Callithrix jacchus: one gene and its partner. The protein of the gene in region 1 purifies or fractionates together with the protein of each later gene. This does not show direct contact. Links are inferred from orthologs where the notes say so. Each region holds a gene or a part of one and is shown on either strand. Other genes may lie near its edges.

The links.
Region 2: the proteins of SMARCA4 (region 1) and SS18L1 purify together in Homo sapiens (affinity purification with mass spectrometry; 3 studies listed by BioGRID and IntAct, with this or other methods). This does not show direct contact. The link is inferred for Callithrix jacchus from reciprocal best matches to the Homo sapiens genes SMARCA4 and SS18L1.

Annotation. Positions count from the first base shown.
Region 1 is NC_133523.1:10,212,803-10,219,884, forward strand, and holds the end of SMARCA4 (SWI/SNF-related matrix-associated actin-dependent regulator of chromatin subfamily A member 4), read left to right. Parts: intron 1-154; coding exon 155-256; intron 257-1,739; coding exon 1,740-1,872; intron 1,873-2,031; coding exon 2,032-2,174; intron 2,175-4,299; exon of another isoform or gene 4,300-4,387; coding exon 4,388-4,420; 3' UTR 4,421-4,849; downstream 4,850-7,082. UniProt on the Homo sapiens protein: ATPase involved in transcriptional activation and repression of select genes by chromatin remodeling (alteration of DNA-nucleosome topology).
Region 2 is NC_133506.1:57,734,146-57,741,324, forward strand, and holds the end of SS18L1 (calcium-responsive transactivator), read left to right. Parts: intron 1-2,552; coding exon 2,553-2,672; intron 2,673-4,171; coding exon 4,172-4,386; 3' UTR 4,387-4,501; downstream 4,502-7,179. UniProt on the Homo sapiens protein: Transcriptional activator which is required for calcium-dependent dendritic growth and branching in cortical neurons. Recruits CREB-binding protein (CREBBP) to nuclear bodies.

The DNA of each region.
Region 1 (7,082 bases):
GTCATGCCGTTCCTGTGTCTGGTGAGCTGGGGCTTCAGCCACATAACTCATAGGCATGAGGAATCCTAGCCCTCAGGGTTCCCAGCACGCAACAGGGCCTGCAGCAGGGGAGGCGGGGTCCAGAGGTGAGACCTGCTCTTCCCACCCCTTGCAGGAGCGCATCCGCAACCACAAGTACCGCAGCCTCAATGACCTGGAGAAGGACGTCATGCTGCTGTGCCAGAACGCGCAGACCTTCAACCTGGAGGGCTCCCTGGTAAGGGCACCGCTTGGGGGTGGGGATGGGCCACTCCCACAACTGGGCTTTGAACCAGCCCACCTCTCCGTCCCTTCTGAATTGACGGGTTAAAAACAATTCCCTGGCCAGGCGTGGTGGCTCACACCTGTAATCCCAGCACTTTGGGAGGCCAAGGCAGGTGGATCACCTGAAATTAGGAGTTCAAGACCAGCTTGGCCAACATGGTGAAACCCCATCTTTACTCAAAATACAAAAATTAGCTGGGCATGGTGGCAGGCACCTGTAATCACAACTGCTTGGGAGGCTGAGGCAGGAGAATCGCTCGAGTCCCAGAGGCGGAAGTTGCGGTGAGCCAAGGTCATGCTGTTGAACTCCAGCCTGGGCAACGAGAGTGAAACCCAGTCTCAAAACCAAAAAACCACCACCACCAAAAAGAACCACACAATTCCTGCAAGGTGTGGTGGTTCATGCCTGTAATCCCTGCACTTTGGGAGTCTGAGGCAGGAGGATCACATGAGACCAGGAGTTCAAGACCAGCCTGGGAAACATAGCAAGACCCTGTCTCAAAAAAATTTTTTTTAATTTCGAACAACTTGGGATATTTTAGTAATTACAAAAACCATGAGTATTTACTGAAGAAAATAAAGATAGGCACAACAGAAGAAGTAGACAGAGTCCTCTGTCTGTTGGAATTTTATTTAAATTCCTTGGGGCACACTGTCTTCAAAGGAACGCTATGGATGTGTTCTTGCCCGTGATGGAATTGACACACATACACAGCCTCAGCTTGGCAAAGTTCTCTTAGTGTGTTTGGGATCAATACCCCTCAGAAAAACAGATTTGATTTTGATGAATTTGGGGAAGATGCTGGCTTCCACACGGAGCTTGCATTTTTTTTTTTTTTTTTTACACGGAGTCTTACTCTGTCACCCATGCTGGAGTGATCTCAGCTCACTGCAACCTCAACCTCCTGGGTTCAAGTGATTCTCCTGCCTCAGCCTCCAGAGTAGCTGGGACTATAGACACCTGCCACCACACCCAGCTATTTTTGCATTTTTAGTAGAGATGGGGTTTTACCATCTCTACTAAATGGTAAGGATGCTTACCATTGGCCAGGAGGCTCTTGATCTCTTGACCTCCTAATCCTCCTGCCTGGGCTGGGATTACAGGCGTGGGCCACCTCGCCCAGCCCTAGGGGCATGCATTTCTAATGTTATTGCAGACCTTCTCCAGAAAGAGGAAGGCACCTGCAGCCAGTCCCAAACCAGTGTGCCTGAGCATTCATCCTGGAGCACTGCAGAAGCCTGTTGCTCTTTGGGGTACCTGTGCAGGACGATTATAGAGAGGGCCCTCCACCTTGGGTGGGCTGAAGCCCCAGCCCACTGAGACTCGTACTGGCCACTGATGAGCTGTCCAGGGGCAAAACAGGGCTGGTGCTGGGGCCAGGCAGGCAGCCCTCCCATCGGGCCCATCCACTCAAGCCCCTGGTGTCTCCACCCAGATCTATGAAGACTCCATCGTCCTGCAGTCAGTCTTCACCAGCGTAAGGCAGAAGATTGAGAAGGAGGATGACAGTGAAGGCGAGGAGAGTGAGGAGGAGGAAGAGGGCGAGGAGGAAGGCTCCGAATCTGAGTGTGAGTCCCTCGGGGGTTCAGGATGCCAGGGTTCACGCTGGTCTGAGAGCCCCCAAGGCCCCAGCTGTTCACAGCCCTCCCAGCTCCCAGATGCCCCTTGCTGTAGAGGTGCTGTGTTCCCAGAGCTCACAGCTCCCTTTTCCTTCTGGTCCCCTCCAGCTCGATCTGTCAAAGTGAAGATCAAGCTTGGCCGGAAGGAGAAGGCACAGGACCGGCTGAAGGGCAGCCGGCGGCGGCCGAGCCGAGGGTCCCGAGCCAAGCCGGTCGTAAGTGACGATGACAGTGAGGAGGAACAAGAGGAGGTGAGGCTGGGCCCCGGGGCAGGCGGGGCAGGTGGGGCAGGCAGGGCTGGCGGGCAGCAGGAGGCAGCCCAGGGCCCTGACGGGATGGCCCTACGGGGCAATACTCCCACTCTGCAGATGGGGAAACTGAGGCTTCACGTTCCATGGCTGGCCCGTGGTCACACAGCAAGTACGTGGCAGAGCTGCCACTTAAGCCCAGGCCTGTGTGACCCTAAAACCAGCTATCAATACCTGTGCATGTCTGGGGACTGGGGGACCTGAGGTCTCAGGATGGACAGGAGGTGGGCCTAGGGCACCAGCGTCTGGGGTGAGGCTGGGCAGGCCAGGGGTTGATTGGGGTCAGGTGGGAGGTGCCAGGATTGAGGACCCACCAGGCAGTGCCCCATCTCCTTAGTGGCACACAGTGGAAAGTTTCTGGGGGGGCAGTGGGGGAGCCTGAACAGATACATTTACTGGCTTTTTTTGAGACAGAGTCTCACTCTATTGCCAGGCTGGTATGCAGTGGCATCATTTCAGCTCACTGCAACCTGTACCTCCTGGCTTCAAGCGATTCTTCTGCCTCAGCTGTCACCCCAAGTAGCTGTGACTACAGGCACATACCACCACGCCCCATGATTTTTTTGTATTTTAGTAGAGATGGTGTTTCACCGTTTGGCCAGGATGGTCTCGATCTCCTGACCTTGTGATCCACCCGCCTCGGCCTCCTAAAGTGCTGGGATTACAGGTGTGAGCCACTGCGCTTAGCCCCCTTGCTAGCTATAAATAAGATACGTCGTCTTTGTCTCTGGCCCTTCCTGGCTATGGGACCTGGCAGGCCACTCTGCTTCTGAAAGCTTCAGCTTCCTCTTAGCAAACAAGGAGGCTGCGTGGATTATGGGGGCTGCCCCCGCTCGAGGCCTGGCTCCCACCAAAGCCTGATGAATGCCATTTGGTCATTACAGAAGTAGGAAATGTCTGTGCCTGGGAATTAGTCTGACAAAACAGGCACGTGACCTTTGAGGACATTCATGAAGTCCTCATGGGGAAGGGAGGCCCGTGTGTCAGACAGGAGGGTCTGGGCTGTAGTGGCATCTCTCTTGCCCAACCCAGAACAGCGTGTTTTATGGCCCATGCCAGGCTTAAAAAGGCTTTATGAGGCCGGGCATGGTGGCTCACGCCTATAATCCCAGCACTTTGGGAGGCTGAGGCGGGTGGATCACAAGGTCAAGAGATCGAGACCATCCTGGTCAACAAGGTGAAACCCCGTCTCTACTAAAAATACAAAAATTAGCTGAGCATGATGGTGCACACCTGTAGTCCCAGCTACTCGGGAGGCTGAGGCAGGAGAATTGCTTGAACCCAGGAGGCAGAGGTTGCGGCGAGCCGAGATTGTGCCATTGCACTCCATTCTAGGTAACAACAGCAAAACTCCGTCTCCAAAAAAAAAAAAAGGCTTTATGAGGCCAGGCCTGGTGGCTCACACCTGTTAATCCCAGCACTTTGGGAAGCTGAGGCAGGAGGATTACTTGAGCCTGGGAGGTAGAGGCTGTAGAGAGCCATAATCGCACCACTGCACTTCAGCCTGGGCAACAGAGCAAGACCCTGTCTTAAAAAAAATTTTTTTTTTTTTTTTTTTAATAAAAATAAAAGGACTGGGCACGGTGGCTCGTGCTTGTAATCCCAACACTTTGGGAGGCCAAGGCGGGTGAATCACAAGGTCAGGAATTCAGAACCAGCTTGAACTACATCGTGAAACCTGTCTCTACTAAAAATATAAAAATTAGCCAGGTGTGGTGGCACACGCCTGTAATCCCAGCTACTCAGGAGGCTGAGGCAGGACAATTGCTCGAACCCAGTAGGCGGAGGTTGTAATGAGCCAAGATCGCACCACTACACTCTGTCTCAAAAAAAAAAAAAAAATTACATGAAAGCGCAAAGATCTTTCGCAGTCAGGAAGAGCCAAAATGTTTTGGAAGCTGTAGGTCAGGGGCCCAAGGCCAGGCAAGTGACATGGGACAGAGCAGGGAAGGCACATGGAGCCTCACGGGTCCCAAGAGAGTGAGTGTGGGCACAGGGACTGCTGCTCTAGAGAAACATGAAGTTGGGGTGTGGCCGTGGTTGCGGCAGCTTCTGTGGCCAGCGTCAGTTTTTTTTTTCTTGAGCAAGTTTATTTAATGCTTGGCAGGCCTCTGGCAGGGGCAGCTAACACTCACTCTCTCCTGTCTCCTCTCCAGGACCGCTCAGGAAGTGGCAGTGAGGAAGACTGAACCCCGACATTCCAGTCTCGACCCCGAGCCCCTCGTTCCAGAGCCGAGATGGCATAGGCCTTAGCAGTAACGGGTAGCAACAGACGTAGTTTCAGACTTGGGATAAAACTGTATAAACAAAAGAATCTTCCATATTTATACGGCAGAGAAGCTGTAGGACTGTTTGTGACTGGCCCTGTCCTGGCATCAGTAGCGTTTGTAACAGCATTAACTGTCTAACAGAGAGAGAGAGAGAATTCGGAATTGGGGAACACACGATACCTGTTTTTCTTTTCCTTTCCCGGCAGTTTGGAGTCACTGTAGTTCAGCGTGGATGCATGTGCGTCACCGTCCACTCCTCGTACTGTATTTTACTGGACAGGTCAGACTCGCCGGGGTATGTCAGTGTCACTGGATGTCAATCAGTAATAAATTAAACCAACAACAAAACGCACAGCCTACAGGTGGACTCATGCCTGGCTCCCCGGGTTTCTGCCAGCAGTAGTGGCGGGGCCACCTCATGTCCAGGTCCCCGTCCTCCCAGCACCAGAACCCATGGGGCCCATTTCACAGAGGAGGATCCTGAAGACGTGGCAGGGAGAGAGGACTTGCCTGGCTATGCAGGTGGCCTTTGCTGCCACAGCTCTCCAGCATGCATTCACCTGGGTCCTACGGTGCGGGGAGCAGGTGGCTCTGTCCCTTCCCTGCCTGTGGCCAGGGCTGGGTTGTGGAGACCCTCACAGAAACGGGCAGACGTCACATAGAGCTCTCGGTCAGGCCCATTCTGCAGGAAGCTCAGGGCATAAAGCGCAGGAAGCCCGGTGGTCAGGAAGGGCTTCTAAATCCAGAAAATAATTTGAGGTTTTCTTTTTTGTTTCTTTTTTGACACGAAGTCTGTGTCGCCCAGGCTAGAATGTAGAGGCGTGATCTCGGCTCACTGCAACCTCTGCCTCCCAAGTTCAAGCCGTTATCCTGCCTCAGCCTCCTGAGGAGCTGGTGTTAAAGGCCACCATGCCCAGCTAATTTTTTGTATTTTTAGTAGAGACTGGCTTTCATCATGTTGGCCAGGCTGCTCTGAAACTCCGACCTCAGGTGATCCACCCGCCTTGGCCTCCCAAAGTGCAGAGAATAGCCTGGCCATTAATTTTTGTGTTTTTCTTAGAGGCGGGGTGTCAGCATGTTACCCAGGCTGGTCTCGAACTCCTGAATTCAAGCAATCCTCCTACCTCACCCTGTTTTATAAATCAAGACAGGGTATTGCTCTGTTGCCCAGGCTGGAGTGCAGCAATGCAGTCAGCTCACTACAGCCTCAATTCAGAGCTCAGATAATCCTCCTCCTGCAGCCTCCACAGTATCTGGGTCCACAGAAGTGTGCCACCAAGCCCAGCATCGATTTTTAATAGCGGCTTTGCAGTCTTTAAGTCTGACATGTTGGCCAGGGTGGTCTTGAGCTCTTGACCTCGTGATCCATCTGCCTCAGCCTCCCCAAGTGCTGCGATTACACTGTGCTCGGCGGCTCTTGTTTTTCTTTTGAAGGAGTCACCCCTGGGTCAGCTGAGCTGAGACGTCAGTTGGTGATTGGTCAGAACTTTCGTCCAAACGCTGAGTTAGTGGCTCTGCCCAGGCAGTTTGCAGGCTGGCCCTACCTTTGCTTTCTGCCCGTGGTTCCTCTCGGGGTGCACTTGAGTTCTGCTGGGCAGAGACATGCATCAGGCTCTCTTTGGAGCGACCTCAGGTGATCTGCCCGCCTTGGCTTCCCCAAGTCCTGGGATTCCTGGCATGAGCCACCGTGCCTGGCAAAAAAAAAAAATTGAGATGAGTGTCGGTCTGTCACCAGGCTGGAGTGCAGTGTCACAATCTCAGCTCACTGCAACCTCTGCCGCCTGGGTTCAAGCATTTCTCCTGCCTCAGCCTCCCAAGTAGCTGGGACTACAGGCATGTGCCACCACACCCAGCTAATTTTTATATTTTTTAGTAGAGATGGGTTTTTACCATGTTGGCCTGGTAGTCTGGATCTGTTGACCTTGTGATCCACCCACCTCAGGCTCCTAATGTGCTGCGATTACAGGTGTGGGCCACCGTGCCCGGCCCAAAAAAAAATTTTTAAGGAAAATAATTTTTAAGAGAAAAAATGAGGGGAGCCTACAGAAACAACTTTGTGTGACCACCTGTGCGAAGCCCATTTGTGGGGTCCCGGGGACATATTAGCTACAGTGCAGGTGGGTGGTCCGGGCTGCAGCCCCAGCTGGCCCAGATCTCAGACATCGACCTTGGCCTGGAACCAGCTTGGTCCCTATGTGGACAGTGAGCCCAAGCCAGGGGCCTCCTTCACCCACGTGAGGTGACAGCTGCCAGCTGGCCGCTGCCCTTCCTGCCCTTGCTCACCACACGTGCCCCTCGGGCAGCTCTCTCTCTCAGTCCTGCTGCCCAGCGCCTTTCTCCAAACAACCCCCAGGGCTGCGGGACTTCATTCCTGTTTCCCACATGATGCAAGTGCGGCTCAGGGAGGTTGAACCGCTGGCCTAAGGCTACACTGATCTGAGCCGGGCTTTGGGGAGCACGCAAGTCCTCAGGGGCTGCTACCTGCTCTGGGGTCTGAAGCCAGGGACACTAAGACTTGAAGGTTAAGTGGTCCCCTGGAACCGAGTGGTGGACTAAGCAATGGGGGAACAGGTGGGTGTGT
Region 2 (7,179 bases), on another chromosome or scaffold:
CTGTACACTTGCGCACACGCACGCTCACGCTATCGACCAACTGGACAAACACCAAAACAACTAACAGAAACGCTTACAGTGGAAGACGGGGTTAGGCTAGAGCAGGGGTGGACATGGCCTCCTTTCCAGGACCTCTTGAAGGTGTGGGTCTGTCTGCATTTACCTTTGAATCATGTGGATGTGCTGGCAGCTTCAGGAGCGAACCATTACTGGGGCCGAGAACAGTGGCTCATCCCTATAATCCCAGCACTTTGGGAGGCTGAGGCAGGTGGATCACTTGAGGTCAGGAGTTTGAGACCAGCCTGGCCAACATGGTGAAACTCCATCTCTACTCAGAAATAGAAAAATTAGCCAGGCGTGGTGGCATGGGTCTGTAATCCCAGCTTCTTGCAAGGCTAAGGTAAGAGAATCAGTTGAACCTGGGAGGCAGAGGTTGCAGTGAGCTGAGATCACCCAAGTGCACTGCAGCCTGGGGCGACAGAGGCGAGATTCCATCTGGAAAAAAAGGAACATCATTGGCTGTCACAGAAACTGAAAGGACCCTACCTTATGGCTGTCCATACCTCCTGGAGTCCCAAGAGCACCCGGCGTGTGTGTGTTTCACAGGCTGTCGCCAGGTGGTGACCAGCGTGTCCTGGAGTGGACGACGGGGTGGGGAGGCCGGGGCTACCTTGGCTGCATCCTTGTGTGGATCACTGTATTTATGTGACGGCTCTGAGCTGCCCATTCACTTATTCCTTGTGGCCAATTGTGACCGCATCGTGCTCCTTCTGAGCAAGCAGAGGAGGCAACGTAACCAGGCACGTTCTGGCCTGTTGTTACACAGATGCACCAGGCTGCCCAGCACCTTCTCACAGACGCCCCGCAGAATGCCAGAGGTATTTAGAGAAAGAAAAGGAAGAACCATGGAGTATTTGCTGGTTGCAGAGGAAAGGCCCCATATCTACCCACCCCATTGCTTTCCTGTCAAGAGCACAGCCTGGGCTCCCCCGGCTCTGCTGGTTTCATGAAACATATCTGAAAACAGCAAAGGTCTTTTCCACAGCCTTTGTGCCCCCTTTCCCTGCAGAGTTATCTCAGCAGCCCCCTTTCTCAGGGGATAGGGCAGCTGCTGCCCGTTCACAGTAGATCGGCTGAGCACCCACGGGGGTGTGAGAGCCAGGCCTGGTCCCTGTGGACTGGGGCTGTGTGTTCTAGGCTGGCACTTGCACAGTTGTTGTGTGCCGGCTATGTGCCAGGGCAGAGCTGGCCCATTTCCTGCAAACTGGCTCCTTAATTATATAAAGAATAAAGTGGGCTATAAAACATGAGGATATGCAGGCTGACACCTCTGAGAAACCCCCCATATCAGATGGCTTTCCTGGGGGCAGGATTGAGAACAGCGACCTTAAGTCCTCCCACGTGATGATGACAGCTCGTTTGCCAGCTGTCACTGGAACCGGCCCTGGATTTTGAGGGAGGTATGGAAGTTCAGGACTCAAGGGATTTCCTGGATGAAGAGTAACTGGGAAGGCTTAAGCAGGTTTCTCCAAAGTTCTCACCTTAGGGAGGAGCTCAACCTGGAATAAAAGCAGGTGTTTTGTCATCCCATCTAACCACAGGTTGAGTTACCCTGATGGGTTTTTAAGCTATTCCAATGTGCATCATCTCAATAAAGCTGTTATTTTAAAAAATACATTACTAGATTCCAGTTTTAAAATACTTAAATTTTACAGCTTCTGAAAAAGGAAAGTTATTTCCAACCAGACAAGTAAAATAGGAAAATTGACTCTTTGCATGGAGCATGGTGGCATACGCCTGTAATCCCAACGGTTTGGAAGGCCGGTGCAGCAGGCTTGCTTGAGGTTAGCCTGGGAAACATAAGGAGACCCTGTCTCTACAAAAGATTTAAAAATTATCTGGGCATGCTGGTACATACCTATAGTCCTAGCTACTCAGGAGGCTCAAGTCAGAGGATCACTTGAGCCAGGGAGATTGAAGCTGCAGTGAGCTTTGATGGCACCACTGCACTCAAGCCTGGGTGAGAGAGTGAGGGCCTGTCACTGAAAAAAATAAAATTATGTCTGCACAGACTCTATGCCCAGATAAGGTCCCATTCGCAGGCCCTTGGCTCACTTGAGCCCTGGAGGTGGAGGCAGAGGCTGCAGGGAGCCGAGATTGCGCCACTGCACTCCACCTGGTGACAGAGTGAGTTATTAATAATAACTTGGCTTTATCAGTTCTTTCTGAATCCTTTGACTGAGTCCTCCCAGGACTTCAGCATCTCTCTGGGGAGCACTGTTCCGCCCACAATGCTGGCGTTCGTCTCTGTCTTAGTTGTCGCGTTAACAGTTTCATTTCTTAGCTTTCCATTTGTATTTCCGTAAGATAAGAAAAAGGTATAGTTTAGTATTTGAATCGTTGTGAGAAAGTGTACATGCCAAAGCCACAGATTTGGTTTTGGAATTCCAGAGTTAACGTGTCGTGAGCTGCTCAAAGAATGCGCTGCCTTAGCCTGGACGGCTCCTATAGCCTGCGCAGGAAGTCAGCTACGTGTCTCCTTCTCCCTCCAGGGAACTCTCAGTACAGCCAGCAGCAGGCCGGGTACCAGCAGGGCGCCGCGCAGCAGCAGGCCTACTCCCAGCAGCAGTACCCCAGCCAGCAGAGCTACCCCGGGCAGCAGCAGGGCTACGGTAAGCGGGGCATGTTCCTCAGGGCCCCCCAGCGCACACAGACACGTGTGCAGCAACCCTGGTACATAGGCAGATGTGTAATCAGCTTCTTATTTTGAATAGCTTTAGGTTTCCAGAGAAGTTGGGAACATCCATGCATGTCGGCCTGAAACATTGTAACTTAAACATCAACATAAATTCATTGCCCAAGCAGCCTGTGAGGGAGCCAGTGTCCTGTCCATCCGCCACCTGCACGCTCCATGCCCAGCTTCAACCTCTTTGACAGAGCAGGTCAAAGCCTGTGGGTCTCGGCATTCACTGCAGCTTAGAATCACCCAGGAAGCTTCTGAAAAATAAGGTCTGGGGCTGCCCCAGATCAGTCTGTGCAAAATCTCAGTTCTCAGGATGAGCCTCACCCACGTGACTTCTTGTGAGACTCATGCATGATTCTGCTGTGGTGAGGAAGGAGAGGCCCTGTTAAAGGTTGCTCACCCTTTAGGGCCATCGCTAATTAAATAGTAGTTTAAATATCACTTGAGGAGGCTGGGAACAGCGGCTCACCCCTATAATTCCAGCACTTTGGGAGGCAGAGGCGGGCAGATCACCTGAGGTCAGGGGTTCAAGACCAGCCTGACCAATATGGCGAAACCCCATCTTTTTTTTTATTTTTAATTAATTAAAAATAAATTAGCCAGGCATGGTGGTGTGTGCCTGTAATCCCAGCTACTAGGGAGGCTGAGACAGGAGAATTGCTTGAACCTGGAAGATGGAGGTTGCAGTGAGCCAAGGTCGTGCCACTGCACTCCAGCCTGGGTGACAGAGCGAGACTCTGTCTCAAAATAAAAAGAACTTGAGGCTCATTGTGGTGGCTCATGTCTATAATCACAGCACTTTGGGAGGCTGAAGCCGAAGGACTGATTGAGGCCAGGAGTTTGAGACCAGCCTGGGTGACATAGTGAAACCATCTCTACAAAAAAATACAAAAACGAGCCGGCATGGTGGTGTACTTCTGTGGTTCCAGCTACTTGGGAGGCTGAAGCAGGAGAATCACTTGAGCCCAGAAGGTGGAGGTTGCCATGAGCCAAGATCATGCCACTGCACTCCATCCTGGGTGACAGAGTGAGACCCTGTCTCAAAAAAAAAATTACTTGGCCTTCATCAGTCCTCTCCAAAGCCTTTGACTTAGGCTTCCTAGAGACGATGCCTCTGTAAGTTTTCCGCAGCTCCTGTGATAGTTAACTTAGAGCAGCCAGTGTGACTGGCACCAGCGGGTTCTGGAGGGCTCTCCTGCTCCTCCATCTTTGGGTAGCAGCAGCTCAGGGGTGATGCAGAGAGGCCGTCAGTGCCCCCATGCTGGTGGCAGGCTTGGGGCACAGTCCTGCAACCTCACAGGACTGGAGGGGCTGGTGAGTTGGTTGTGTGCTGCTCTCGCCATACGGAGTTAACGTGAAGCTCCTGCCGGTGCAGAAAGACGGATGCACCCATTTTGGCCTGCCTCACGGTTTCTGCTGTTTTCTCAGGGCCTGCCCAGGGAGCCCCCTCGCAGTACCCCGGCTACCAGCAAGGCCAAGGCCAGCAGTACGGAAGCTACAGAGCACCGCAGACGGCACCCTCTGCCCAGCAGCAGCGGCCCTACGGCTATGAGCAGGCAAGCTTTTTGGATGTTAACAGATGTGCCTGTCCGCCTTGCCTATTGAGACTTAATGAAGATTTCTCTTATGGCCATGAGGAATAATGAGCTAGAACTAACTGGCTTCCAGGGTTCCTTCCAGAATGTTAAGTCTCTGAGCCTGTAAGGTTTTTCAGAATTATTTCTGTGTACATGCTCACCTCAGTCATGCAGCAGCTTTTCATGCCCTAAACTTACTGTTAATCTGCATGCCTGGTTCTCCCATTCATTCCTTCACTCTGCCCACATTTGTTGTGTACTGGGCACACGGCAGGTCTCTGCTGGGTGCCTGGCATGTGGCCATGATATGAACCCTGTGCTTTTAGAACTTATGTCTTGTTCTGGAGACTGTCACTTGTCCGATGGGGCCAGACCTTGCTGAGCACGGATCGGGGAGCCCCTAGTGGAGCCTGCCTTCCAGTGCAGGCGGCCACATTTGACCAGTGTGGACAGTTCCAGAAGGAAGACACAGTGGGGAGTGGTGGGCAGCCGCAGGCTCAGCCCAGGGAAGGGGGAGCCCTTTCTGTCCAGGGACAGTGATCAGGGCTTTGAAAGAGCTAAGGAAAGAGCACCTTGGAAGCGAGAATAGTGGGAGCTCCCAGGACAGTAAGGAGGCCAGCGTGGCAGGAGGCGACAGGGATAGGTGGGCGTGGGGGCCCCCATAAAGGAGACATCACTGTCACTCTGAGTGGGACGGGGCCACTAGAGGAGGACAGGGTCTGTGTGGTGGGAGCACTGCGGGGGCAAGGGTCTCCCACAGGAGAATGAGCCAGGCACAGGAAGGGGCGTGCCAAGGTCCTGAGGCAACAGGTGGTTTGTCCCAGTGAAGGCAGCACAAAGGACGCTTGGTGGCTGGAGCAAGGGGCATACAAAGGAGAATGATCTTGGACAATTTTTGGAGCCTCCTCTGAGAGAGTCCTTAGCAGGAAGTGGTGACTCTATGTTGGTGACTCTGCACCTTTGGCCTCCACCCACAATGCCAGTAGCACACACATCGCCCAGTCTGACAGGGTGTCTCCAGACATTGCCGGATGTCCCCGGGGCATGCTGAAAAGTGTGCTGAGGCTTTGGGGTTGCCTGCGGGTTCCCAGGGCTCGGGCTGCTCAGCTCCTCGCCTGAGCAGCTCTGGATTCGAGACTTTCTGTCTTACCCAGTGGTGCAGGGGCAGAAAGACATCGGAACAGACTCCTGCTGGCTAGGGTCCTCAGAGCAGCTCTGAATGAGAATGTGGCAGCCTGTGTTCCGTCAGGAATGTGATGTCTGGATTCTCGGTCAGGCCAGGGCGACTTTCTTCCCTCCCCTCCCTCACTGTGGGCACTCAGGAAATCTGATGGTTACCTAGCTGGGGGCACATGGAGAATCAGGCCTGCAGACGTCGATTCGTGCCTTCCTCCATGGCAGTCCTCTGATTGGCTTTCATCACAGGTCTCGTGCTCCATTTGGCTCCTAAGGAATTCTCGGTCTTGTGGCCTTGCGGGCCGTGGGCTCTCTAGTTCTCTCTTCATGTTTTGAGACGGGGTCTTGCTGTTGCCCGGGCTGGAGTGCAGCAGCATGATCTCGGCTCACTGTAGCCTCCGCCTCCCAGGTTCTACTGATTCTCCTGTCTCAGCCTCCCAAGTAGTTGGGTTTACAAGCGTGTGCCACCACTACCGGCTAATTTTTTATTTTTAGTAGAGATAGGGTTTTGCCATGTTGACCAGGCTGGTCTCGAACTCCTGACCTCAGGTGATCCGCCCACTTAGGACTCCTATAGTGCTGGGATTATAGGTGTGAGCCACTATGCCCAGCTTGGATTGCTGGTGTGAGCCACTGTGCCCAGCCTTTTTTTGTTGTTGTTATTGTTTTAAGACAGAATATCACTCTGTTGCCCAAGCTGGAGTGCACTGGCATGAACACGGCTCACTGCAGCCTCAACCTCCTGGACATGCACCATAACATGTGGCTCATTCTTTCTTTTTTCTTTTCCCTTTTTTTGAGACAAAATCTCATTCTGTCGCCCAGGCTGGAGTGCAGTGGTGTGATCTCGGCTCACTGCAACCTCTGCCTCCTGGGTTCAAGCGATGGTCCTGCCCCAGCCATCTGAGTAGCTGAGATTACAGGCGCATGCCACCACACCTGGCTAATTTTTGTATTTTTAGTAGAGAGCTAATTTCACCATGTTGGTCAGGTTGGTCTTGAACTCCTGACCTCATGATCCACCCTCCTCAGCCTCCCAAAGTGCTGGGATTACAGGAGTGAGCCACTGCGTCTGGCCGTTTTTTTCTTTTTTGAGGCAGGGTCTCATTCTGTCACCCAGACTGGAATACAGTGGCATGATCTCAGCTAACTGCAACCTCCACCTCCCAGGCTCTAGCAATTCTCTTGCCTCAGCCTCCTGAGTAGCTGGGATTACAGACATGCGCCACTACTGCCCAGCTATTTTTTTGTTGTTGTTTGTGTTTTTAGTACAGATGGGGTTTCACCATGTTGGCCAGGCTGGTCTTGAACTCCTGATCTCAAATGATCCAGCCGTCTCAGCCTCCCAAAGTGTTGGGATTACAGATGTCAGCCACTGCACCCAGCCGAGGCTAATTTTTTCTATTTTTTTATAGAGATGGGGTCTTGCTGTGTTGCCCAGGCTGGTCTCAAACTCCTGGGTTCAAGCAATTTTTCTACCTTGGCCTCCCACATTGCTGGGATCACAGGCATGAGCCACTGCACCCAGCCTTCAGATTTTTTTTTTTTTTTTGAAACAGGGTCTCACCCAAAGTAGAGTGCAGTGGGGCAGTCATGGCTTACTGCAGCTTGACCTCTGGGCTCAAGCGATCCTCCCATCTCACCGTCCAGGTAGCTGGGAGTATTGGCATATGCCACCACACC